Linked DNA regions of Schizosaccharomyces pombe. The gene in region 1 interacts genetically with each later gene. Each region holds a gene or a part of one and is shown in the gene's direction. Other genes may lie near its edges. The genes, in order: rad2, pnk1, rad57 and mst2.

The links.
Region 2: mutations in rad2 (region 1) and pnk1 together harm fitness more than expected from each alone (negative genetic interaction), as found in Schizosaccharomyces pombe (3 studies listed by BioGRID, with this or other methods).
Region 3: mutations in rad2 (region 1) and rad57 together harm fitness more than expected from each alone (negative genetic interaction), as found in Schizosaccharomyces pombe (4 studies listed by BioGRID, with this or other methods).
Region 4: mutations in rad2 (region 1) and mst2 together harm fitness more than expected from each alone (negative genetic interaction), as found in Schizosaccharomyces pombe (2 studies listed by BioGRID).

What each region holds. Positions count from the first base shown.
Region 1 is NC_003424.3:5,389,044-5,393,411, reverse strand, and holds rad2 (FEN-1 endonuclease Rad2), read left to right. Parts: upstream 1-1,989; 5' UTR 1,990-2,150; coding exon 2,151-2,163; intron 2,164-2,232; coding exon 2,233-2,323; exon of another isoform or gene 2,324-2,500; intron 2,501-2,508; exon of another isoform or gene 2,509-2,704; coding exon 2,705-3,743; 3' UTR 3,744-3,826; downstream 3,827-4,368. Other genes in the region: SPOM_SPAC3G6.07 (uncharacterized protein), read right to left, coding at 762-1,139; SPOM_SPAC3G6.05 (Mpv17/PMP22 family protein 1), read right to left, coding at 4,017-4,089, 4,159-4,256, 4,321-4,368. UniProt on the Schizosaccharomyces pombe protein: Structure-specific nuclease with 5'-flap endonuclease and 5'-3' exonuclease activities involved in DNA replication and repair.
Region 2 is NC_003424.3:2,135,481-2,141,306, reverse strand, and holds pnk1 (DNA kinase/phosphatase Pnk1), read left to right. Parts: upstream 1-1,839; 5' UTR 1,840-1,868; coding exon 1,869-2,409; exon of another isoform or gene 2,410-2,432; intron 2,433-2,462; coding exon 2,463-2,858; intron 2,859-2,897; coding exon 2,898-3,040; intron 3,041-3,096; coding exon 3,097-3,243; 3' UTR 3,244-3,365; coding exon of another isoform or gene 3,366-5,162; 3' UTR 5,163-5,273; downstream 5,274-5,826. Other genes in the region: ipp1 (inorganic pyrophosphatase), read right to left, coding at 1-778; mpp10 (U3 snoRNP-associated protein Mpp1), read right to left, coding at 3,366-5,162; rps23 (40S ribosomal protein uS12), read left to right, coding at 5,519-5,826. UniProt on the Schizosaccharomyces pombe protein: Catalyzes the phosphorylation of DNA at 5'-hydroxyl termini and can dephosphorylate its 3'-phosphate termini. Has a role in the repair of breaks in single-stranded DNA.
Region 3 is NC_003424.3:2,121,185-2,125,039, forward strand, and holds rad57 (DNA recombination mediator, RecA family ATPase Rad57/Rhp57), read left to right. Parts: upstream 1-1,845; 5' UTR 1,846-2,105; coding exon 2,106-2,172; exon of another isoform or gene 2,173-2,267; coding exon 2,268-3,265; 3' UTR 3,266-3,322; downstream 3,323-3,855. Other genes in the region: gpl1 (Gpl1-Gih35-Wdr83 complex RNA-binding subunit), read right to left, coding at 1-1,024; whi2 (phosphatase activator), read left to right, coding at 3,808-3,855. UniProt on the Schizosaccharomyces pombe protein: Involved in recombination DNA repair and in the repair of gamma-ray-induced damage.
Region 4 is NC_003424.3:2,362,946-2,368,695, reverse strand, and holds mst2 (histone acetyltransferase Mst2), read left to right. Parts: upstream 1-1,761; 5' UTR 1,762-1,862; coding exon 1,863-2,315; exon of another isoform or gene 2,316-2,431; coding exon 2,432-2,521; exon of another isoform or gene 2,522-2,568; coding exon 2,569-3,249; 3' UTR 3,250-3,301; coding exon of another isoform or gene 3,302-5,128; 3' UTR 5,129-5,197; downstream 5,198-5,750. Other genes in the region: protein kinase C (PKC)-like Pck1, read left to right, coding at 1-439, 495-696, 741-929, 971-1,154, 1,200-1,291; exocyst complex subunit Sec3, read right to left, coding at 3,302-5,128. UniProt on the Schizosaccharomyces pombe protein: Component of the mst2 complex which is a highly specific H3 lysine 14 (H3K14) acetyltransferase that functions together with gcn5 to regulate global levels of H3K14 acetylation (H3K14ac), critical for DNA damage checkpoint activation.

The sequences.
Region 1 (4,368 bases):
TAATAAGCTAATTTGAGTTGTCTAGATGTAAACATTTATCACGTAAAACTAGTCCTTTAATAAATTGAAGATTTGAACTATAAAGCGTACTGTGTGAAATTAGGAAAGTATTATAAGTTTATCGCATAAAAGTTTGAAAACCATACCTAATTTTAGGAGCCAACCCTGAATTTATTTTTTTTTTTATTCTTATTTTTTTTTTTGTAAGACTAAACATAATACATTCAAACCTAGTGCATCAATAATCGAGAATAAAACTCGAATAACATTTTGAACCCTTTTTGCAATGAACAAGATTCATTCTTTGTAATCAAATGTAAATTCGAAAAGTAATGTAATATTAAGGAATGTTTCCTTAACTCGATTTGGGATCAACAAATAGAGGTTCAACTTTGATTATATCACTGTGCATACTATAACATGTATTTTTTTAAGTTTGTTTTTTCAAAAGGTTACAGATCGATTTACTAAGCTACAAAATTCAAAAAACTTAAAAAATTCAATACTTGCAAAGCAAAGAAGCAGAAAAAAAGATCCAAAAAAAAAGGATTACATTTATTTTGTTGAATTTATTATTTTTTTTAAAAAATAAATAACTTAACTAATGAATCACTATTTAGCAATTCTCTTTAGATTTGAATCCATAAAAATCATAACAATAAGCGAAGCAATATAACTGGTATTTGCTTATAAAATGAGCGATTCATGCAAGCAGAAAGTTCTTTAAAAACAAAAGAAAACATTAAAATAGATTTAGCACTTCACTTTGGCGTTATAATATCTCCATGTTTTTTTACATGATCACGATACACTCGATATGGTAAAACCAGTGTATACTTTGGCATAACAAAATCATCTCCAACAAACGATTCATCCTCAACATATGTTTTAAGAAATTGTAACACTTCGGTTTGATCAGCTTTAGTGAGGTCGATGTATATATACAACAAATATGAAAATTGGAAAATGGTATTAGCAGTTGCTTTATAAACCACAAACGATTGGTAATATTGTCTACCTTTGTTATAATAGTCTATAACATCAGGAATAACACTGTTTTTTTCCTTTTCATTAGAGACATCTTCTCCTTCGTAATCGGCAGGTGCCAATGTTAAGTATGGCGAGCTTTGTTCAGACATTGTTCTTGCTTTCACAGGTAAATTGAGGTTGCACTGGGATATGAGTATACTGTAAGCAAGGCGCGCAGCATCTCATATAATATTCTTTCAACGAGCCGACATTAACTAGAATTTGCCAACGTAAGATCAGAATGACGTTTTGATCCGCACGAAATACGTCGGTAAAGGAACCTTATTAGTAGAATATTGCAATATTGTTCGTTGTCTGCATACTACACAAGCGATACCATAAACTGGTTACGATTATATTTTCGACGATTCAGTAGCAGATATGGCGAGTTTCAAATAATACTCTCTTGGTAAAATGCCTATTATCCAACATTGTTCCATGAATCAAGGCTATTGTTCTATTAAAAATATTACGTTGAGCAATTCAAGCGGCTTTCTCACTACGGTATCTCAGTACCGTAAAACCACTGGTTTATTCTCATAAAAACAACCTTATGTTACACAGACTTACATCTAGCCAAGTCAATAGGGTTTCGGTAAAGTTCCAATGTACTTTTCATCCTATTCCTTATCCGGAAAAAGGAATCGATCATTTTTCCAGAATTTCTGATGGTACATTACCTTTTCGAGATCTTTTCGTGGTAGTAAACTGCGAGGTGATTTACATTTTACAGCCGTGCTGCCACCAAAACCACAAGAACCTCAATTTGGTAATCTTAAAATTTCTAATTTGTTCCTTCTAGAAATCCTTTTTTAAAAGCTATAATACATGGGAATTTTCAGTATAAATTGGCTGGTCCCTTTCCTTGTATTTACATTCTTTGGTCGATCATTCTTTATGGAAAAGTAACATGTGATTTACTGAATCGACTCTTTGACGTGGATACTACTGCTGGTAGCTAAGAACCTTTGTGTGAGTGAGCAAAGTAAAAACTGCTCGATTTTGAGGAGTATAATACATCTAGCAAAAATTGAAAATTTAATAAGAAGCTCTAAGCTAGTTTTGGAGAAAGCGTTGTTCGGGATCTCGTAATATACATAAATAAGTATATTTGCTAAACGATGGGAATTAAAGGTATGTTACATTTAACGCTAAAGAGTTTATCTTTTACTCTCTCCTTTACTTAAAACTAATCTGGGTTAGGTTTGGCTCAAGTACTAAGCGAGCATGCCCCAGCCAGTGTCAAACATAATGATATTAAAAATTATTTTGGACGGAAAGTGGCTATAGATGCGTAAGTTGAAAGACTAAATAGAAAGCGAAAGTCTCAGTTGACTTGGCAAAGACTGTATGGCTTCTGATTTTGTTTGTAAATATGGGTTAAACACTATGGTGTACAGTTTTTATTGCTAAAGAGCAAAGCTCTATGTCTTAACTCGAGACAAAGATATGATACAAACGAAATATAGAATAAAGGATGAATAAATTTTCACTAACAGTGACTCGGTTAAATTCATTGCTCAAGGTATTTTACATCATTTCTTTACTTTGTTGGTTCTTGAAGTTGCAAACACTAATAGGTCAAACTCTATTCAACTGATTCTTTCCTTTTCGAAGGGTTGATTTATAAAGTCTTCTTGAGGTACTTTATTAATGCTAATTTCGTATATTACAGGTCAATGAGTCTTTATCAATTTTTAATTCAAGTTCGCAGTCAAGATGGTCAACAGCTAATGAATGAACAAGGCGAGACTACTAGTCATTTAATGGGAATGTTTTATCGTACACTCCGAATTGTCGATAATGGAATAAAGCCTTGCTTTGTCTTTGATGGAAAACCACCAACATTGAAGTCAGGGGAATTAGCTAAACGTGTGGCCCGACATCAAAAAGCACGAGAGGATCAAGAGGAGACAAAAGAGGTTGGTACAGCTGAAATGGTGGATCGGTTTGCCAAACGTACGGTCAAAGTTACTCGGCAACATAATGACGAAGCAAAACGTTTACTAGAGTTAATGGGAATTCCCTTCGTTAACGCACCCTGTGAAGCAGAAGCTCAATGTGCCGCTTTAGCCCGTTCAGGAAAAGTTTATGCTGCTGCTTCTGAGGACATGGACACATTGTGCTTCCAAGCTCCTGTACTTTTGAGACACCTGACATTTAGTGAGCAAAGAAAGGAACCAATTAGTGAGTATAACATAGAAAAAGCATTGAATGGTTTAGATATGTCGGTGGAGCAGTTTGTAGACTTGTGTATTCTTTTGGGTTGTGACTATTGTGAACCTATTCGGGGAGTTGGCCCCGCTAGAGCCGTCGAGTTAATTAGGCAATACGGGACTCTCGATCGCTTTGTCAAAGAGGCGGATCGATCAAAATATCCTATTCCGGAAGATTGGCCTTATGAAGATGCCAGAAGACTGTTTTTGGATGCAGAAGTACTTCCTGGTGAAGAGATTGAGTTGAAATGGAAAAGTCCCGATGCAGATGGCATTATACAATTTCTGGTTAAGGAAAAAGGTTTCAATGAAGATCGTGTTAAATTGGGGATCAATAGACTAGAAAAAGCCTCAAAGACAATTCCACAGGGTCGTCTTGATTCCTTTTTTAAACCAGTCCCTTCTTCTCCCAAAAAACCTGTAGATACAAAGAGCAAAGGATCAGCAAAAAGGAAAAGAGATTCAAATAAGGGTGGTGAAAGCAAGAAAAAGCGTTGAAAACGAAGTCATGTAATTGTTATTAATCTAAAAAAAAAACTTAAAAAAAGCAAGACGCATGTAGATAAAACTATACTACGCTATAATAATAGTAAATCTGTTTAATGCATGACTTTTACGTAAAAATAATTAGTCTAAGGAGGTAATTCTGATCATATAAGCTAATAATGGTATACAAAACTCGTTTCTAAGTAATAATATGCCAAAAAACAATCTGGCTGATACAACTCAAAAAACGAAAAGCAGTGGATTCGGACGATGGATCAAAGATCTTTAAAATAGTTCAATTTCTTGTGAGCCAGATTCTTGCATTGAAGAAGCGTTCTTCAAACTAAGAAATATGTTCCTAATTGAAATTAGCAAAGGCGAAAAAACTAGGAGCAAAAATGCTTTATGTCTCTTGGAAACAACATACCAAAAAATAGCAACCGTACAAGCAAATGGCATTTGGTATTGTAAGGGCATTAGCCAAAAGTTCACAGTTTGAAAGAAGGGCCAGACCATATAATTAGCCTTTAAATGTTAGCAACAATACAACAGAACCATTTAAGAAAGAAAATTTAGAAATTAAGTGTACCTTTAAAGTGGGCCAGAAAACAGCTTGAAGTTTATCGTAGGCGCCCCT
Region 2 (5,826 bases), 3.3 Mb from region 1:
AAACGGAAGGGTCATTGGCAACAGATCCAGTGACTGAAACATTGACCAAAGAAAAGTCAGACTTGGCATCAGTCTTACCGGTAATAAGGCGCTCCCAAGCTTCATTGCACTCACGAACAACTTCTTCAGCATACTTACGGTTCTTGCATTCACCACTGAAAGCAAAGGAATTTTCAGGCTTGCCATCGGGGATCTTGTAAATGCGGAACCACTCGTTAGTAGCACGGATTAAGCCAGGCATATGACGTTCAACATCCTCAATATCATTAAGCTTAGGAGCTAAAGGGTCATTAACGTCGATGACAATAACCTTCCAGTCAGTCTCACCCTCGTCAAGAAGGGCCATAACACCCAAGACCTTAACTTGCTTGACTTGGCCGGTGTAGCCACGAGCTTCACCGATCTCACAAACATCGAGAGGATCGCTATCACCCTTGGCCTTGGTTTCAGGATGAACAACATTAGGATCCTCATAGGTTTGAGGAAAAGCACCGTAGTTCCAAATGTAACCGTGGTGAGGAAAGCAGTTACGAACGAAACGAAGCTTACCCTTCTTAGTATCTTGCTTGATAGGGTTCAAGGTAGCTTCCTTGGTAATTTCAAGCTTAGCCTGAGTCCAACGAGGGATCTCAACGACCATGTTCAAGATGGTCTTCTCAGCATTGGCATACAAGGGGATATCGTGCCAAGAAGAGATAGGAGTACCATTTTTCTCAACATAGACTTGGTAGTCCAATGTGTTCAAAGCGCCAACTTCACGGGTAGTGTATTCACTCATGACTGAAAAGTGTTTTTGGTTAAGTACAGGTTGCAATGTGCACTAATTCGCAACATCTGCTACAAAATTTGTAACTCAATGTATACAAAAAATCTTATATTAATTTATAAAATTTTCTAAGGAACAGGTTTATATTTTTAATATCGCATGTTTTTATTTTATACAGCATAAAGATGGATTTGTGAATCTTACATAGGGTAATACTGTTATAAAGTTACTTTCTTTAGCAATACTTTATTAAATGATTGATAGTAAAGGAGATTTCCACAACATGATAAAAATTTAGCACAAATAAATTATTAAAATTAAATTGTTTTACGAGAATTTATCAATTTTTTATATTAAACACAATCAAAGATATTTATTAGCCTTGTATGCAGGTTTCTTTTCTGTCGATATGGATCTTGTGGAATACTGATTTTGCGATCAGTAAATTCTTGGCTGATGCAGTAGAAGCCATAATGTTTATATAAAAATATACGAAATATTTAAATTAATTAATTATGGAAATTTTTGTTTTTAAATTCCAGATCAGCTACTAAAAAAGATAAATGACAAACGAAAAAATAATGCAAAAAAAAGCTCATACATAAAAACAAAATATTGCCGATGTCCTTCATTTTTTGTTTAAAAATAAACGGTTTAATTTTAAACGATACCAAAAAAAAAAAACTAATGTTCGTAAATAACGAGATATGCAATTGTTAATGAATAAGATGTAGGTCTCAAATATGTTATTTGTGAAATCTTTGAATGGTTGCCAAATAATAAATTAGACGAATAAATTAAAGAATTTTCTTGTTATTTATTGTCTAAATTTCTTCGAATAAGAATTATTTTCAAGTCAGTAAACATATTAAATCTTCGATTAAGGACTATATGATATAATATATCTTCTCACTAATTGTTGTATATGAGGCATTTTATGTAATTGATCAAAAACAATTGAAAATTCAATAGAGCGAAAAATAAAATTTTCATCTGTTATCCATTTTTAAGTATGTTATTGAAACCACCCATTTTCATTGCTATGCAATTATAATATAGCTAACTCAATTACCAAGTCCCATTTAGTATTTCGTCAATCGCGATGTCGTCGAAAAAAAGAAAGTCTCCCCCCCAGGAATCTTTAACTTCATATTTTGAAAAATCGTCTAAATCCTCAAAAAAGTACGGCTCTCAAAACAAAGATTCTGATTCATCCTCGACATGCCTTCAACAGAAAATAGAAATTCAATGGAGCATCACCGATTCATTATACATAGCAAAGTATGGAAAACTAAAAAAGACTAAAAAATTTATTGCATTTGATTTAGATGGAACGCTCATAAAAACTAAATCTGGTAGAGTATTTTCAAAAGATGCAGCTGACTGGACCTGGTGGCATCCAAGCGTTGTCCCAAAATTGAAGGCTTTATACCAAGACAATTATTCTCTTGTTATTTTCAGTAATCAAAACGGAATTCCAAGAAAACCTTCTGCCGGACATACCTTTCAGATGAAGATTCGTGCTATTTTTGAGTCATTAGATCTACCTATTGTATTGTATGCTGCCATCTTGAAAGATAAGTTTAGAAAACCATTGACAGGAATGTGGAATTCCTTTTTAAAAGACGTGAACCGTTCAATTGGTGAGTTGACGCTTGTAATTTATCAAGGCCTATTAACATTTTTCACCCTTTAGATTTATCTTTCATCAAATACGTAGGTGATGCTGCAGGCCGTCCGGGTGATCATAATTCAACTGATTTAAAGTTTGCTGAAAACATTGGGATTAAATTTGAGACGCCCGAGCAATTTTTCTTGGGGCATTCATTTGTGCCTCCAAACTTTGAATCATTTCATCCAAAGAATTACCTTGTAAGAAATTCTTCTTCACATCCATACCATTTTAAAAAATCCGAGCATCAAGAAATTGTTGTTTTAGTTGGGTTTCCTTCTTCTGGGAAGAGTACTTTAGCTGAATCTCAGATTGTCACTCAAGGATACGAAAGGGTAAATCAAGACATCTTAAAAACGAAATCAAAATGCATCAAGGCTGCCATAGAGGCACTTAAAAAAGAAAAATCGGTTGTCATAGGTATGTACTCGATCATTTCAACGACTTACGCGATTTCAGACAACACAAACCCTACAATAGAATCACGAAAAATGTGGATTGACATAGCCCAAGAATTTGAGATCCCTATACGCTGCATTCATCTTCAGTCATCTGAGGAACTTGCCAGACACAACAACGTTTTCCGTTACATTCACCATAACGTAAGTTACCTGTTGGAGCATTAGAAAGACTTAGAAGAATTCCTAACCAATTCTAGCAAAAACAACTTCCCGAGATAGCGTTTAATTCTTTCAAATCTCGTTTTCAAATGCCAACAGTAGAAGAAGGTTTTACAAATGTTGAAGAAGTTCCTTTTAAATGCCTTAAAGACTATGAAGATACATGGAATTATTGGTACGAATAATACGAATGATATCTAAGAAATTATTAAATTGCATTAATTTCAAAAATATATAGTTATTGATCCCACTAAAACCAAACGTTTATAAAAATTATGACTAGCACACTTAACACCGAAATTTATCTTCAAAGCTTTAGCTGATTTGAAGAAACAATCGGATGATATTTGTTTGAATTACTTGCAACCTTTTTGCGCTCACCTCCTTTACCAATGACCTCAACATTCGATTTTGATAATTGACGAACGACTTGTTCAGTACCGGAATTCCTTCTTTTCTCAGCCATTTGCTTACGTTTCTCAGCATGTTTTCTACGCACCCGCCTGCGGCGTGCTTGCTTTTGTTGGTGGTCCATTTCAGTCGATGAAATGGCGATACCTGACCGAGTAATAGTTTCACCTTCACGATTCTCATTAGACGGTTTATAAACTTCTTGAGGAGCCAATGCCATAGTGTCAGAGGCAGCAGTTGGCTGAACGTCCTCCATTGCTAAAGTGGGTGCATTAGAAACAATTTCAACAGTAGACTCAGGAGGAGGGGGAACATAATGCCAAGAAGCAAGAGAATCTAAAGTGCGGCTGACTTCCGAAAACAATGCCTTGATTTCTTCATGTTCTTTTTCTTTCTTTTTATCAGCTTCACTCTTATATGTGTCGGCGTTGCTCTTTTTAAGGAATTCTTCTTCATATTCTTCTGCTAAAGAACGCTGAGACTTATTTTCGTTTAACTCGAATAATTCGCTTGGTCGAAATTCAGTAACAGCAACTGGCGCGCGTTTAGGTACATCATCAAATGTTTTGGAAATAATTCGGTTTTTAATTAAATCTTCTAATGTCTCAGTAGTCTCTTCCGTTTGTACAGGGACAGGTTTAGCACCAGTTTCAAATTCCAAATCAACGTCTAACAGTGAATTAGAAGGTCGTCCTTTAGACGTTGCCTCCCCCATCATGGTCCAGGACTTCTTGGCAACGTTTTCAGCCTCGAGCTCACGAATTTGCTGAGTCAAACGGGCTTTATCGCGCTCATAAGAAGATAATTGATCAGCTGAAACATCGTCTTCTTCGTCACTAGCAAATAAATCTTTCTTCACTCGATCAAAGGTAGCATACTCATTGTCAGAGCTCTCATTATTTTCTTCAATAACATTTTGTTGCACATCATTTTTGAAATCCGGTTTACTTGTTCTTTTTCTTTTGGATTCGGCCTTTTTCTTTTTTAGTTCACGGCGACCGGCCGCTGTTTTTGGACCAAAAAAATCTTCGTACATAATGGAGTCAGCCTGAGGACCATTTGATTCATCTTCAGAGTCTTCCATATTCTCATCGGGATCCATTAACAAGTCAATACCGTCATCTTCATCGCCGAGGACACCCTCTTCGACTGCTTCCTCTTCTAAAGCTAAGGTTTGCTTGTTAAAATTATCAATATCAAAAAAACCATCATTAAGTCCAAATGCGTCTTTTTTCTGTTCGATTTGTTGTCCTTCTTCATTCATAATTTCAGCTTCATCTCCTGAAACATCTTCGGCAGAACTTTCGTCGACATCTTCTAGATTTTCTGGACCAGAGAACCCTAAAAATTCATCATCAGCATCATCCCGATTGTTCATTTCACTATTGTCAGAGAGTTCCTGATGACTTGTTTCATCATCCTCATCCTGGAAAGAAGTAATGCTATCTTCTTCTTCGTCTTCGTTTTCAACATCAACTTGAGGGAGATCATCTAATGCATACTTGGCAGCTAATGCTAGTTGGTTATATATTTGCCAATTATCTAATCCTTTTGTGACAATTGTTTGGATGGGACTTGTAGATGGGATTTTTATATTTGAGAAAACCTCAATAGCTTTTTCAACCAATTGCTTTGAATCCTCTTTATTCGGGAACAAAAAGAGTGTTGGCTCGGAATTTATAAGTTCAGTCATATCAAATCTTTTTTTTTTTTTAAATCTCACAAAACTTTGACTAAATATCTTGGAAGTATTCCAAGTACGAAACAAATAAATACCAATTGAGCTTAAATATTACACACCAAACCTTTTGCAAAGTACTTGCAACTCCTTTTTCCAAAATAATCAAAAAGACGTATGTTTTTTGTTTTAGATGTTTTTTCTTTTTTGTAATGTAGTAAAATTTTAGTAAGTATGGGCATCAACAATTTACTTAGTGAAGCGTTGCGTACTATATTATATAAGAAGGGTAGGGTTTGTGACTGTTTTGGACATAAAGCTAAGTTCACCTAAATCCAACACACAGTTCGCCGCAACCTCTATACTACAAAATGGGAAAACCCGCAGGATTGAACGCCGCTCGTAAGCTTCGCAATCATCGCCGTGAGGAGCGTTGGGCCGATGCTCATTACAAGAAGCGCTTATTGGGAACCGCTTACAAGTCATCACCTTTCGGTGGATCGTCTCATGCTAAGGGTATCGTTGTCGAAAAGATTGGTGTAGAAGCTAAGCAACCTAACTCTGCTATTCGTAAATGTGTTCGTGTTCAGTTGATCAAGAATGGTAAGAAAGTTACCGCTTTCGTTCCCCACGATGGTTGTCTCAACTTCGTTGATGAAAACGACGAAGTTCTTCTTTC
Region 3 (3,855 bases), 3.3 Mb from region 1:
TAGGTAAACTTGCTTCACCGTTGGAATTTGTTTCACTTTTCTCAGCAAAAAGTGGTAAGCGCTCATTTGAAGTTTGGGCTTTTTTTTGTGAAAATCCTTGAGAATTTGTAAAAAGTTTTGGCTCCCAACCCTCAGGTATTGTAGGAGGAGGAAACCAATTATTTTGAAAAGGTGATTGTAAATTAAATACCACTACAAATCCTGGAAGGGGAGGTAGACCATCTGAGCAATTTTGCGATTTGATTATGCTTTTCCCTTTGCTTCTGTCTTTTTTTGACAGAAAGGTATGCTTAACGGGTGTAAATGGAGAAGCGACTTTTTTTGTAATGTTGATAGATTTATCATACCGCATTTTTGGAGCACCGAGGTCGTATATATCTTGATCTTCTATCCCATCATCATTTAAAACACCTGATCCAAATCCACCGCGCAGATTTTTTGCCATTCCAACTGGTTTTCTTTCCAGCTGAAAAACATCGTCCGCTTGATACCCGATACCGTGATAAGCTTGGTTGGTTAACTTAGTGTCATCATAATACCCTTGAAATGGAGATATAACAAAATCATGACCGTTCCATCCAAGATTTTTTAACATTTTTTCGCCAATGCTATCGTCCCTATTTGAGAATTCTCTAAGTAGAGGATCATCAATTGGTATAGATGTATCAATCGTATTTATTTTCGAAGTATAAACTTTACTAAGCTCTTGGTCAGCACGATCTTCCTCGTCCATAATATCGTCAATAGTCATTCCATGCACACTTTTGTTTTCATTCCTTGAACTTTTCCAAGATTTAGGTTGCCAACCCTCTTTTGAACCAACCGTATTAAAATAGCCAGCAGAAAATCCACCAGTAAATGCACCATGAAATCTCTTTCTATTACGCTCATCCCTGGCTTCTTGTTTCCAAACAGGAACTCCTTGATTAATTCTGGACGGCTCAAGATCAAAAGGGGAGCCATAAACTACATAAGGGTGCCGATGAACATCGACATTGCTTCTTTTTCTTGAATTGGCATACATTTTAAAACAAGAAGTAATCGTGATCCGTAGTTAAACTGAAAAAAAAAAAATTCAAAATTCAAAATTTAAGGCATATTTTAGGATACTATAAGCCCATTATTTTTGAGGCGACAAGAATACTATGTTGAGCAACTTTTAATTTTTAATAAAGCCAGATAACTTATCAAAGAATTCTGATTTGTTGACAAAAGCAATTACAATACTCAATTTTTAAACAGTTGCCCTTGCTTCGAATTTCAGCTGCCTCCGTAGTGCAATCTGCGAGCGTTAGGGTACGTTATTTATCTATTACCTAATTCTTTGTACAGTTGAAGTTTCATGAGATGAAAAATGTATCATGTATATTTTGTCTGTTATTGAGAAATCTCAACAAAGTTCTATTTAGTATTACTTCATGTTGAACCAAGCATTCATAAACTAAGAAATTTGTTGGTAGCTGGTAAACTGAGCGAATTATCGTCGGTTGATTGGTAAAACATCATTTCTTATACTTCGTTTGCTCAACCATACTACGAATTTTAATGCCTAACAATTAATGAGCAATACACATTTGGATATGCTGCTTATATAATTTCACATATCTTGATAACTTAATTATCAATTAAGGAATGGTGGTTAGGCAAGTATGTGTATCATTACGTGGGGTTTTTCATAGATGTATGGTTTGAAGATGTTAAAAAAATAAGTGTAAGCGGTTACTATGCTAATGTTCTATAAAAACCAATGTTCATATAAATATTCGTCGATTGCGGGGCTTCTTCTCATAAGGATTATAATTACTAAACATAGAGGTATTGGCAGGTCAGTTGTAATTCGCGTACAACATCTTCGACTCACCACTTCTATAGTGGTACATAAATTACCGTTTCTTTCTGCGAAAAAGTGGGTTAGAAGTTCGTGCTATTACTTCTAAATAATCGTGAGAATTTAATTCAATCGTAGGATACAAAGCTGTTCATTATATAAAACTATCAACTTTCGAATATTCTATGGTGTGGATATAATTTTCATTTATCTTTATGAGTAAAAACTATACATATCATATTTACAATTAAAAATCTTCTTTCTTTCTACTATATGGATGGATATTTCGAATTATGTTGACAATTTCTACTTTGATGAGAAAATTGCTTCAGCATTTGAATTAGGTAAGCGTTTAGTAGTTCAATAAGCTTGCACATAAAAAAAAAATATTGGGTTTTTGTACCGGGATCTTAAAAGACGGAATTACTGACAGCTTTAGGAGAAGTAAGCACGGTTGATTTGTTAACGCTGGATATTACTGAGCTAGAAAGACGCACACATTGTAGTCAAAGTGAGTTATTACAGTTAATTGAGCAGATATCCCTCCTTCTTCAACCAGTAAGATGTTCTGCTTCCAAAGTCACTTCGAAATATTTGACAACTGGCGATGTAAAGTTGGATGAAACTCTACATGGAGGTATACCAGTAGGACAGTTAACTGAAATATGTGGTGAAAGCGGTTCAGGGAAGTCACAGTTTTGTATGCAGCTTTGTTTAATGGTTCAACTACCTCTCAGTTTAGGAGGAATGAACAAAGCAGCTGTCTTCATTTCTACAGAGTCCGGTCTTGAAACAAAACGATTATTTGAACTGGCGCGTTATTTACCAGAAAGGTATCCCAAAGCTGATAAGAAAGACATAATTATAAAAAATCCAGGAGATAGGGTGTATACTATATTATGCCCAGATCTGGAATCTCAAGAACATATCATTCAGTATCAACTGCCGATTTTATTCAATCGGGATAAAATTGGGTTGGTTATATTGGATAGTGTCGCCTCCAACTACAGAGCTGAGCTCCGTTACAACCGATCCAAAAGTCATTTTAGAGATTTAGATAATATTGCCAAACGTGGAAATCAATTGGGAAAGTTAGCTATGACTCTACGCACTTTAGCTCATCAACATGAAGCTGCTGTTGTCATAGCTAACCAAGTTAGCGATAGAATTCCTAGAGATTATGATGCTATTGGGTTGTTTAGTTTAGATTATCAATCGCAATGGTTTTCGGGATGGGATGACACAGATCCAAATCCCAAAATACCATCTCTTGGTCTCGTTTGGACTAATAACATCAGTACGAGATTAGCATTAATTAAGAAAACCGACTCTGCCACCAATAATTCGGGGAGAATCTTTCGGGTTGTTTATTCACCAAATTCTCCAAGGCTTGACGTACGAATATGCATAGGATCGGTTGGGATATATTCGTGCTAGCATTTTTGTAAAAATTTTATATATAATATAATAAAACCGGTTTATGAATTGCCCTAACTTTGTTTAATCGACTGTCGCTTATCAATCATTCGCAGAAAGAAAAGTAATGCTTTGAGTAACTGTTACATATATAAGTGTACTTATTTATCTTTATATTTATATTACCTCTGTCACTATTAAATATATATTTTGTTGATCTATGATGGTAGTGCATTTTTATTAGAATCCGACATACTTTAGTGGACTGAATTTTGGATATACCAGTTGGGTATTGAAATGGAAAAAAATACAATAAAAAGTTTTACACGTAACAAAGAATGCCCAAAGAGCTCTCTTAACCGACGAATGGCTTTTTCTACCTGTTTTTACTATTGCGCGTAAAAGATTTTGTAAGACCTTTCCGATAGCTTCCGCTATTGGCGATCCTTTAGAAATTTGCACCTAACATTTTTACCAAAAGCCAAGTATGCATTGGTGATATCTTGTAAATAAAAAATGAACATTCTTTTATAACATAATCGTTACAAAAATAGAACACAAAAATGTCAGTTCCAATTGATCGAATCAATACGGTTGACACTTTAGCCAAT
Region 4 (5,750 bases), 3.0 Mb from region 1:
CTACTCCTACTCCAGCTTCTGTTCTTGCTCCACCTTCCAGTGCTAGCTTATCGTCTTCCAAGGATGCTAATAGAAGTGTTCCAGAAAGTCCACGCAGAGAGAAAAAGAATCGTGTTACGCTTGACGACTTCACATTTTTGGCTGTATTAGGGAAAGGCAATTTTGGCAAGGTTATGTTGGCTGAATATAAAGTGAATAAAAAGTTTTATGCCATCAAAGTTCTGAAAAAAGAAGCCATTTTAAAGAATGAGGAACTAGAGAGTTTAAAAACTGAAAAGCATGTTTTCGAAGTCGCGAATAAAGAAAAACATCCGTTCTTGCTGAATCTTTTTGCAAGCTTTCAAACTAGTACCAGGGTTTACTTCGTTATGGAATATATTCTTGGTGGTGACCTTATGGTTCATATTCAACGTCAACAGTTTAGCGTGAAACGTGCAAGGTAGTACTTCAATCTTTATTTTTATTTTTATTTTTATTTTTTATTAACCCCATAGATTTTATGGTGCTGAGGTTTGTTTAGCATTGAAGTATTTTCATGAGAATGGAATTGCTTACCGTGATTTGAAATTGGATAATATTCTACTTTGTCCTGATGGTCATATACGAATTGCTGATTATGGACTCTGCAAAGAAAATATGTTGCTTGGCAATACAACTTCCACCTTTTGTGGTACCCCCGAATTCATGGCTCCAGAAGTAAGGCGGAACTTGTTTTGGTTTATTTTATCTAACGAAAATAGATTTTATTAGAACAGCAATATTCCAAGGATGTTGATTGGTGGGCTTTTGGCGTTTTGATGTATCAAATGTTACTGGGTCAATCCCCTTTCAAAGGTGAAGATGAAGAGGAAATATTCGATGCGATTTTAAGCGATGAACCGTTGTTTCCGATTAATATGCCAGCGGATGCGGTTTCGTTATTGAGAGGGGTATGCAAATTTCTAAATATGTTAACTAATTCAAAAAATAGCTTTTAACAAGAGATCCAAATCAACGACTTGGTAGTGGACCAAAAGACGCAAACGAGGTTATGGCTCATCCTTTCTTTGCTAGTATTGTCTGGGATGACTTGTATAACAAACTTTATGAACCATCATATAAACCGCTTATCAACGATCCCCGAGACCTCAATAATTTTGATGAAGAATTTACAAGTATGACAATTGTTAAAATATGGTTAATTACTAACGATCGATTAGGTGCATGTCCAACTTTGACACCTGTCAATACTGTTCTCACACGACAACAACAAGAGTGTTTCAGAGGATTTTCCAGTTTTGCTACTGAATAGAATTAGCTTGTCCTTTGCTTCTGCTTTTTTAAAATTAGAAAATTATGGTAACAATTTCATATAGTTCTGATGCTGCTTCCTTTGCATTCTTACACTTAATTTAGTGTACTCACCCTTTACATGATATTTTTTTTACTTTTCTACGTGTTCATATTTAAAAAATTTCTGCATTTATCATCATTACATTACTTGAAAATAAAGTCGAAATTAGAGAATAATTAAAGTGGCATTAAAACTACTAATGTAAAACTTATCGTTGAATCACCCAAGGTGACTTTGTAGTATTTATACGCAACGTTTGTAATGGCATTCAATCAAAAAGCTAACAGTGAAGTTATGAATGGTTACTGTTTCAGAATACAAAAGTAAAAAATATGAGTAGTTTTTTATTTAACAAGAGTGAAAGGGTTATCTTTGCAGAGATCGGATGGAGGTGGAAGTAAAGCAAGAACTAAGAAGAGAATGAGGGCACTACCACCAACTCAATTATATTGACCAAAGGATTAAATGGGGCCATTAGGAAAACTATGAACGATCTGTAAATATAAACAATCTTTTTTTTTTATGTATAATGCCGGCGACTATTTTGAAATCCACAGCCAGTTCAAAGACTTTGTTAATAATAAAGTTTGATACAAACTCCTCCAGATATCCATTTTATAAGAAACATTTATTAGAGTTAAATTCGGAAAGTACTTTTTTGGGTCTATTAACTAAAGGGCAAGCTGACACATCGATTACGAGACTCAACCAAGACGATGTGAGGCTGTTTGAAAAAGCAAAGACAGTAGCAGATAGGACAAAGGATGTGGCTTATTCATTTTCCGATCCTATTTTATCTACACAGTTGCGAACGCCTCCACCACAACCAACCTCCATTCGATACCTCTATTTTGGTACTTACCGGATAAAACCATGGTATACATCACCGTATCCAGAGGAGTATAGCTGTGCAAAAAATTTATATATATGCGAATCTTGTTTAAAGTATATGAACAGTGATCATGTACTACAAAGGCACAAGGTAAACAACTTTTCAAGTAAGATCATAATGTTATTCGCTATTGCTTGAGTTTAAACGAGGTGTACATTAAAAGATCATAATCTATCCAAATTGAATTTACGGACTAACATAATCAGATGAAATGCTCATGGAGTTATCCACCAGGAGATGAAATATATCGGGATAAGAATATATCAATTTTTGAAGTTGATGGTCAACGGCAACCGGTAAGTAATTTTTTATGCATTTTATACTTATTGATGTTTTTCCTTAGATATATTGTCAAAATTTATGTCTTCTAGCAAAGATGTTTCTTCATTCAAAAATGCTGTACTATGACGTTGAACCGTTTCTTTTCTATGTATTGACTGAATTTGATGGCCAAGAATGCAAAGTTATTGGATATTTCAGTAAAGAGAAACGCTCGGCTTCTGATTATAACGTTTCCTGTATATTAACATTACCCATTTACCAACGCCGAGGATATGGTGTCTTTTTGATTGATTTTAGTTATTTACTTACACAGGTAGAAGGTAAGCTTGGATCACCTGAAAAGCCACTTTCAGATTTAGGCCTCGTTACGTACCGAAGCTATTGGAAAATGAGAGTAGCCAAAGCTCTATTGGAAATCACAACACCGATTAGCATAAATGCTATCGCCAAATCAACATCTATGGTATGCGACGATGTTATATCCACATTGGAATCGTTATCTGTATTTAAGTATGATCCGCTCAAAAAGAAATATGTATTACAACTGAAACGGGATGAACTTGAGAATGTTTATAAAGCTTGGAATATCAAACACCCTCAAAGAGTAAATCCAAAACTTCTAAGATGGACGCCATATCTCGGAGAAGAGCAGATATCTAACCTTTTACTTAAAGAAAATATACTTATTCCTCTACCTCAAAAGCGTCTATTAGATAACTCTCATCATCTGGATTCCGTTTAGTTCAAATAAATAAGTATTTTAATCTTTCGATATTTGTCGTGAAGCATTTGTATCATCTACGGCTTGGTTGTTGCTCTATATTAATGACGCCATTTAATGCAGTAGACAACTCTAGGGAAAATAAGTTGATGGTTGAATTGATAGACTCACAACCTAAAGCACAATCTTGAAGTTGGCTCTTAATGTTTTGCAATTCGATTTCTTCTTCAGCAAGGTTTTCCACACTGCTTATGATAGCTCCATCAAACGAAAATTCTGTTTGTTTCAATACATCTTTTATAGTTGTACCTTCATTCCACTTCAAAGTGGAAAGACGAGAAATGCTTTGCTCCGGAATGTTTTTGAGGTTGATTTTTGAGTTAAGATCGTAAACTTTTTCAACAGAAGCTTGGTGCGGTTTAGTCGGAATGGAAGTAACAAGAGTTTTCTTGGCTTTTGGCTTGGAAGTGGTTTTTCTATTTTCAAAGCGCAAACTTTCAAAAAGGGGAAGAAGTTCATTTCCTATAGAAGGCTCGTCGTTTGGTGGTTCGATTTGTTTACCAGTCGAAGGAGTTGCCCGAACAGTTGGCTGACGGGACGGGTGCTTTGGAGGTAATTTAGGAATAGCCGGTGCTCCTGTTGGTTTTCGAGAAACAGACTTTGCTGATACTTTAGACGAACTGGAAGGCTTGTAAGATGACGTTAATACTGAAGGAGTTTCTAAGCTAGAAGATAAAGCTGCCTGGGTAGCATCACGATCCACTTTACTAAAATCGCTAGCAAATGTGTTTGACTCCAAAGAAGAGCTTAGTTTCACGTCTTTTTGAGACATATTATACTTACCAGCTTCTAGTGCCAAAGCTGTATTTTTCTCGTAAGAACCACTGATGCTATTCTTACCCCTTTCCGAAGAACTCGTTCCACTGTTAAATGAGGGTGCTTGTTCACGACGAGTAGTTTTACGTAAAGAAGGTTTAGATGGAAACAATTGAGCTTGTTCTTGAATAAACATTTCCCGTGTTTGATTATCTCGTCTTTGAGTTGAAGTATCGAATAAGACATCATCTTTTCGGTCTCCTGAAGTCCTTGCAATGGCAGAAGAACTTGAAATTTCTATAACATCACTATGGGCAGATGATGGGGTCCCCCGGGAAACGTTGGAAGAAGGCTTATTGTCAGAAAACCGTCTTTCTTTTTCAACACTCAACTTCTTTTTGGCTGATCGAGAAGAATCAATAGTGAGCTTCTTCTCGATGCGAGGCTGATCCGTTTCTAAATTGGTAACAATTGGGCCGTCCGAAAAATTACGGTTATGTGCGACTCGAGAGTTAAAAGATGAGGAAACTTGTTCTGAAGAATTTTCAGGTAATGATGACCTTGCTTTAGGAATAGCTAGGCTCTTTGCAGGATAGAGATTAGGTTTGTTATCAGCAAAGGAATTACGATAGGCCCAGTCCACTTTGCGGCCATCAGTCGTAGTCACTGAAAGCGGCCTGCCCATATAGTACATATAATTTTTAGCAACAGAAAAAACAAATCGATCGCGAGCAGAAGTGTCCTGAGTTCGCAACAAATGTGGCTTGTTTATTGTCATAGTAACATCATGATCATTAATTACAGTAATATTCTGCAACTCAAATAAAGGCCAGGATTTCACGACTGTCATTCCGCCTTTATCATTTACTTTCAATCTGTGTATATAAAAAATACGAGTCACATCATCACAAGTCAAAGCAATGTAGCGGGGTTTCATCTTTGAGCCAACAACATTAACTCCTCTTTCTTCCTCCACCGGAAGATATGCTAATGATTGCTCATGAGCTTTCCGTTTATCGGTAGTTTGAGCCGAATTGACAGCTTGTAGAATTTCTTGTTCAACGGCATTAGGGTTAGAAGCCATTCGTCTGAAGTGGTGTATTAAATGAAAAAAATTGGGTTAAATAGATAAATATTAACAAAAAAAAAACCATTAATTAAACATTCTACCACTTTCCAATGGCAAGTAATACTGAAAGCGCCTTATTCAACGGAAAAACAAATTTTCTAAGGAAACGAGACTTTTTTTTAATTCACAGAGTCTTTATAAGCAAGGGATAAAATTTTCTTGTAAAATTGAATTCTAGCGGTAAAGAAATATATAAATTTGATAATAATTTTTACAATTGTGGTGGAATGGTGGGTTAATAAGGAGAAATGTCAAAACGTAAACAAGTGACATATGTAGGCAAATGCTATAGAAGTCGATTTTTTAAAGTTTATTTAAACTTGCAAGCATTGTCTACGTTCATAATATTTATATATATTTAAACATCTTTAAATATTTTTGCTGTGCATGAAAAGTACAATAATCCATAACTTTTTTGTTGATGACTTCGCTGTACTTTATGGCAGCTTTGTTTATTCGACGAGCTTAAAAAATCCAAATTATTGAAACAGGAAACACATTGATAGCCATAGTGTAATTCTAATTGCATAACCAGCAACGTTTAAAATGGTTAGCTATAGTTAAGTATTAGTACTAC